Drosophila melanogaster: one gene and its partner. The protein of the gene in region 2 interacts with the protein of the main gene of each other region in a pairwise test. Each region holds a gene or a part of one and is shown on either strand. Other genes may lie near its edges.

What was found.
Region 1: the proteins of vir-1 (region 2) and Ugt302C1 interact in a two-hybrid assay, tested with the Drosophila melanogaster proteins (one large-scale study listed by BioGRID).

Annotation. Positions count from the first base shown.
Region 1 is NT_033777.3:11,155,093-11,158,851, reverse strand, and holds the start of Ugt302C1 (UDP-glycosyltransferase family 302 member C1), read right to left. Parts: upstream 1,755-3,759; 5' UTR 1,612-1,754; coding exon 1,359-1,611; intron 775-1,358; coding exon 515-774; intron 446-514; coding exon 1-445. Other genes in the region: Ugt302E1 (UDP-glycosyltransferase family 302 member E1), read right to left, coding at 2,339-3,660.
Region 2 is NT_033779.5:12,421,256-12,425,014, forward strand, and holds the start of vir-1 (virus-induced RNA 1), read right to left. Parts: upstream 2,185-3,759; 5' UTR 2,068-2,184; intron 608-2,067; exon of another isoform or gene 575-607; 5' UTR 450-574; coding exon 386-449; intron 1-385. Other genes in the region: Fam92, read left to right, coding at 3,683-3,759.

The DNA of each region.
Region 1 (3,759 bases), on a different chromosome or scaffold from region 2:
GGGCAAAGGTGTCGATCAGCGCCTGGCGTTTTTCCAACGGCAGTGTTTTGCTCTTCAGATTGGAGCCCATCGAGAAGTAGATAACTCCATGCTCGGCACCCTCAATGAACTCCAGAATGTCCTTGGGCAGCGGCTGGCGCTTTCGATTGATGTGCATGCCGCCCACCTCGATCATATTGGGTGAGTAGGGTCGTGGAAAACTGAGCGATACATGTTGATTGAGCAGCACCAGAGCCGTGTTCTTGCGCATATCGTAAAAGTCCTGCTTGTTATTGGGGAAGTACTTGCGGTAGAGGACCTCCTGGCGCGGCAGATAGAAGTAGTTGAGGAAGATATATTCGTAGGTGAGGAAGGCCTGGTTGCCCACTCGCTCTACGAGGGACATGCGGTCACTAAACTTCAGCAGTGCACTGGGAACATACGAGGGCGGTGAAGGAGATCCCACCTAAAATAAAAGGTAAGAATATATAAATTATGGAAATCCTCTTAGTCACTATGGCAAATAATCACCCACCAGATCGGTGTTCCAGCTAATAGCTCCAAAGGTGCCCAGTCCTATAAGTGGAGCCTTGAAATGCTCGGCGAATCCGAAGTGAGCTTCGTTCAGGAACACCTCGGATATTACGGCATCGAAGGTCTGGTTGGATTTCATCAGTTCTATCACAGATGGTTCCTTCAGCAGCAATTCGGTTATTTCAATACCCATTTCGTGAAAGTTAATGATCTGCTTGATTATGGGCTCCTTTGAGCTTTGCAAAAGGTTAGCAATTCTTCCTAAAATAAATTAAAGTGTATTAAAACGCGTGTCTTTCTAACAAAGAGAACATGTCATGTCATACAAAATTGGTATTAGGTTAGGTTATTTTAAAACCCTTAAGTGCTTAGAAACCATGGACGTTATCAGAAGCAATTGTTAGCTAGGCTTATCGAATCGAACTTAACTCATTTTTATTGGTGCAACTTCTTGAGGTAAAAATGAAATGACTTTGAAAGTTAAGCTAATAAGCTGAATTCATTTAGTTATGTAATGCATAAGTAAACCAGAAAACTCCATTTGTCAACAAATAAATATTTGATGTAACCCAACCGGTTTACACCATAGGCCATATTTTACAAATTCACATTTTAAAAGTCTTTAAATGTTGTCACCATTGCAAAATAACAGAAATAATTTATGTTATATTAATCACACTAATAATATGATACGACTGTGTTCTTGAATTATAATGGAAGTTCATTGTTCAAACTTTAGATTCCATTCAATAATTATTAATTTCAGACACAGTGTCTGTAGTCTTACCGAATTCCCCATTAGATTGTGTAATAATGTTATTAATAATTTCGGTCGTTAAACATACCCTGCATGGAAGTCAGAATGCTCTTGGCCGGAACATCTTTGATGTTCTTGATGGGTTTCTTCAGCTCGAAGGGGGAGATGATGGTCACCTGATGTCCCGCAGCGGCTAATCCCTTGGCCAGGGCAGATCCCACATGGTAATGGGATCGTGCGGCGGTATGGAGCACCACCAGGTAGTTGTAGGCAGACACGCAGCTCAGCAGGCAGAACAGCAGTAGGGCCAGAAAACCCGTTTGGCCAGCTGTTGGTTTCATCGTTAGTTTCGAAAACTGCGAATTCAATACAATTAATTTGGCTTAATTGTTGCCAGTTGTGAAATGCGTTCTTAACGACCAACGACCGTGAAACTGATACTAAATGGGGGCTACGAACGCCTCGACGCCTCGCAGTAAACTGAGTTAACATGGGACTGCGATGAGGTAATTATAAGTGGTTGGGTTAGGTCCCAATCAGATTTGGAGAGTGTGCTCTGCTCTGCTCTTCTATTCTCACGCCCTCTCTTCTTCGTCATCGTTACAGTGCCAAATCTCAATATTTTGTACGCTATTCACGATCGAGTGTCAATATCTCTACAAAGTGGAGAGGCTCTCTCGCATATATTATCAGTTTTGGATAGGTTTTATTCTCGGATTCTCCTTCGCTTTGTTTTCACACCGGCTTTTTTGGTGGGGAGCAATATTTTGTTTTGTTTTTCACTTTGGTTCTCTTTCTGATGCATGGTTGGTGTAGAATTCTGATTCAAACAATATTTGTTGTTGATAAAGAAAACTATGCGAGGTATTTTAGAAAATGCACGTTGCGAATTTTTGTTTGAGATCAAAATTTGAGATAATTATTAAGCCACCATAAAATTTAATAATAGTTTGATGTATTATGTAAAAAATTATTTGTATTTAAGTCCACCGAAAAAATCCAATATACTTAAAAAAGATAATATTCTATATAGCTTAGTTTTGTACTAAAAAAATATTTATATATAAACTAGTTAATTTTTAGCTTCGAACTAGGTTTATATAGAAAGCCGTTTACAATAGTAACTAAAAACCGAACTAATAGAAAGACGAAAATAACGGTCAATCCAATGACCGAAAAGAATGTCGCCAGAACATCCAGATTGTGGTATTGGATGAAGTTCAGATCCTGGCAGGCACTTCTCAGGTACTTGGCTCCTTTATGCCGAGTCACATGCTCCACCCAATAAACAGCTCGTTCCAGTGGAGTCTCCTTTTGGTCCCGATATTGACTGGATATCACCTTAACCCTTTCCGTGAAGCTAGGATCACTAGTAATCCTTTCGATGGCGGATCGGAATAGTGAAGCCGTTAGTTGGGCATACTTCACCGTGATGCCATAGCCCATTTGCTCGGCTCTTGCCATATTCATGAACTGATCGCCAAAGAAGGGAATACCCACGACGGGCTTGCCATGGTAAATCGATTCCATTGTGCTCAAAAGTCCTCCATGGGTTATAAAGGCAATCACTTTTTCGTGTGCCAGGATATCGTCCTGCGGTAACCAGTTCGATATGAGAACATTATCCGGTTTGTCGACAAAGGTTTCCTCCTCGTACTTCCAAATAACTCGGTACTTGAGTCCCCTTAGCGTCTCCACAATGGCCTTTCGCTTGTTCTCCGGTAAATCTTTGCTGTTCAGATTGGAGCCCAATGAAAAATAGATAACCCCATGCTCGGCTTCTTCGATGAATTTGCGAATATTTTGGGGCAGTGGCTTTGGTGCCTTTCGATTCACGTGCATTCCGCCCACTTCGATCATGTTTGGCGAATAGGGCCGTGGATTGCTGATCGATACATGATTGTTAAGTAGCACCAATGACGTATCCTTGCGCATCCTATAAAAGTCCTGTTTGTTGTTAGGGAAATACTTTCGGTACAGTGCTTCATGTCTTGGTAGATTAATCAAATTCTCATAGGCAAATTCGTATATCTGGAATCCCAAATTCTGAGCCCTTTCCCAGAAATTCATGCGATCCCCGAACCGCAGCAATGAGTGTGGCACATACGATGGTGGCGAGGGTGTGCCCACCAGATCAGAGGTCCAACCAGTGGCACCCAAGCTGCTCAGAGTGATCAGTGGAGCTCCGAAATGTTCTGCAAAACCGTAGTGGGCGTCATTCATGAAAGTCTCACAGATTACTCCATCGAATGTGCGGTTTTGTTTTAATAGCTCCTGTACTTTCGGCTCCTTTAAAAGACTTTCTGTTATATCCAAGCCCATTAAACTGATTCTTGGATATCGCAATAGAACCGGCTTTTTGGCATTCTCCAGAATTCGCGCTTTGTAAACTACGGGAGAAAAGAATGCATTTAAATAACAAATATATAACCAGTTCCTAGCACCAAAATAGCTTAGTTTTTATGGTCGCTTAAGTTAAAGTTCTATAA
Region 2 (3,759 bases):
ATTTATTTATATTGCTCCAAGTCACAATTACATCGAGGTAATCTTTAAGATTCTACCAGAATATTCCAGATCAAGAAGGTATAAGAGGAACGTACTACGTAGAAGAGTGCAAATCAGAATTCCCGGTGCTTATCAATTTTCTTTGTTTTTAAAGTCAAAAGGTTGACTGTGTTTTTTAATAACTAATTATGTGCACATAAAAATGAGAAAGTAAAGAGAAGGAAAACAAATATGTATGTTGCATATGTGTACAAATTGCATATTAGTTAGTTCCGTTATACGTATTACTTAGGGCAAGTTAACATTTAGTTTTCAAGTATTAATCATTTAAATGTTAATTTATGAAGTGCATCATGATTGGATTGCTTTTAAGCCTTTCACTTACCTGGCAATGTGAAAACGCCGCTAAGGGCTAGCACGGTCATCAGCAAACCGAACAAGAGCTTCATTTTTGTTTGGTTTTTTTTTTTTCACAAGCTTATAATTTGTTTAATTTGTATAGTTTATTTAGGGCTGAAAGCTTTGATGCGTTGATGTGGACCGGCAACCGGATTCGATTCTGTTCAGTTTTGTTCTGTGCGGAAAGACAAACAATCGTCAAATGCGCTTAAATGATTTGAGGAAGCGGCAAATAAACGGCGGCCGGCTGAGTGAGTGAGCGAGTGAGAAACCGAGTGAGTGACTAGCTGACCGCTCTCTTGCTCTCCCTCTCACTCAATTAGCCGCTGGGCTTATAAATATTCCAAATGGCAGGCGGCAAGTGTTGTGGGAAGAGCGCTACACTGTGCCCGTCAACTGGGTACAATATTTGGGGACTCCACTGTGTACAGAATGCAGCGTATTAGTAATGTTCTTAGGCACATTTAAGTTAACTTTTATTTTCGTTACACCTTTTTGTTTCCGTTATAGCTTACTGGTTCATTAACTATTGTATCTACTACTATAAAAAATATAATATAATATAACTTTATCTTTATAATTATATATATATAAAAGCAGTTCTAAAAGGGCATTTGCTACTAATATTTTAAAATTTCGATTAAAAGGGTGTTTGAAAGTCGCCGTTGCTCATTGAACCTTTTGTAAATTTAGTTGTGTTTTCAATTTACTTAATCAGTTTTTGTCTATGCTTCGTTAGCTGCACGCGGGCTTCTCTATTCCACTATATTTGTATTTCAGACTTTAAATGTGTCCCTGTCACAGTTGCTGAATGTTTCAGTCGCCCCATTCGTATTTCAATTCCACTTCGATTGCATTGTATGGAACTATGTCTATTCAACGGCTGCTCGAATCACCTGTTAAATGCGCTTGGTGTTTAGTTCAAGGTTGTTGTTTCTGTAAACAAAAGCATCATTTGCTTATTTCCCTAATGGGCAGCTATTGAGAATTTTCTTCCAAGGAAATGAAAACGGAGCTAAAGACTATTCTCAGTAATTAAATGGTTATGATAGAGTGCTTCTTTTTAATTCCATCGATAAAGTAGTCACGCCTTGATTGAGCCGGGTTTAATCACGATTTTACTAACGAATATGCCAAAGATCGGCAATTTATTGGAAATCTTTAGTTAATCCGATTATGAATGATCTTTTTGACCCGAGAGAACTTACGATATAACACCCAATTACAGTTCTGATAAATATAAAAAGCCGTAAAGAATTTGTATAATTATACACTGATTTAAATCTAGAATGTATTATAATCTCAAAATGAACTGGAATTTTTGCACATCAGAAAATTATTTAAATATCTTGCCCGACAGTAAATTTTTCAAGGTCTTCAAAATTAGCAACTATAAACTTTAAATAGCATTTTTAATGTCTGATAGTTTTAGAAAGCTATTGTTTATGTTGGGCTCAGCATAAAAGTGAGCACAAGTAAATATTTCGCAAACAGCTGCGTGAAGTAAATTAGGCATCCAAATTATTGCCCAGACAGCCTAAACAAGCTGCAAATTGTTTGTTTGTAAACATTTTTGTCAGCGCCGAAGCGGAAATTGTTCACGCACACAATTTCATTCACATACACATGCCGACAACCGCGAATTTGCATAAATTTTATTATTGTTACCGGTGTCATACAGTTATTTCTGTGGATCGCTTGAATCACTCGATTTCGAAAGATCGGAGAAGAACGCGCGATCTTCAACGTGCGTTGGCTTTAATGAAACGTTTCGGACTAAACGGTTGCGTACGATTTTGGCTTCATTTATACCAGCTCACGTCGTTGGCACTCAAAAAAAAACAAAGAATTGAGAAGAGAGACCGGGAAAGGGAGGAATGCGCAGAGAAGAATACGAGAGCGAAGAAGGGTCTTCCGAGTGCTCCAAATGTGCATTCAACAATGTTTTAATTAAAAAAAAAAAAGAAAAATAACTAAAGAACTTTCAATTTTATATTTTTACAACAGATCCACTACCAAAGATGCCCCATCCTGTTTACCCAAAAAGTAGCAGAAATTTTACAAAAAGAATATTCATTGACACGTCAGTGGGAGCAAAAATGAATGTCGCCAGCGGAACGCGAATGTCCTCCAGTGCAGTCCCTTGACCAAAACCGTTGGAGTTCGAGGTGTATGTATAAAAATCAGAAATTCAAAGCGGATGGCCGACAGCGCCGAGAAAGAGGCGGGGATATAGTTAGCGACAAGGAACGCGCGCCAAGCTACGTTCTTGGATTGACAATGAAGTCCACCTGCCCCCTTTTACCTGAACTTGCCTCTTGGGAGCCGTGTTGCTTTATGGTTTTCGACCAGATTGAAATCGCGATCGGCGCAGCTACAGCTGTTAAAATCTCCTGCAGGCTGCTCTTCATGCTCTACAACTTGTAATTCTTGTCGTGGTCCCACGAACCGGATTCTGTTTTAACTACACTTTCGTTGGTTTTATTCGAACTGCTATTTTCGTTTTACTAAATACAGGTTTGATTGCACTATGCCTTTAAGTGGCAGAGGAGCATTTAAAATAAATTACCATTTTCGGTTAATCGTTGACACAACATTCTTGCGGTCGAGTCAATAAATTCCCCAAAAAACAAGATTTGGTTGTCAAGGCTTCGAAGTGAGAAGAATTTGAGTCAGCTTAGTCCTACATATATTTAAGTGAGTAAAGCTTGGCTTTTAGGACCAACGATATTTTAAAATATCAGATTGACTTGTTTTTAAATAAACTATTTACAATGCTATGATCTTCAGGTAAATATCGTAGTATATTTTCTATTTTTTTATATATACTAATTATATATATTTTTCTTTATCATTTGCAGTCTCTTAATTAGTCATAAATCTTTCGAATTTAAATTTAGACACCGGATGACAGACAGAAACACTCACAGATTATAACGAAACGTGCTCTTGACCTTGACACTGTTGGAAAAAAATGAAGTACCCATATTCAGATATTTATTTTAGGATTGAATATTTTTAGAATGTTTTAAATTTCCTTGATAAACTTTATTCTTGCGCCATCTATGTACTTGCAGAAGACGCTGATACTAGCGCCACCTGGCAGCAGTAGGTTCTTAACATTTCTGTTAATTTTACAGAGCTGGAAATATGCTGGCTGTTCGAACGAGAGTTGCCAGATGAATTTAGACGTTGCCTTGGTAACGGTTTTCACTTGATTTTATTGTCGAAATAAAATAAATAAAGAAGGAAAACAAATATAAGGGACTAAAATAAAATAATAATGTTTCGTCGTGGAAAACTATCCTTTCTAAACACCAAAGATGACCGTGTTAAAATAATAAACGAGCGCATAAACAT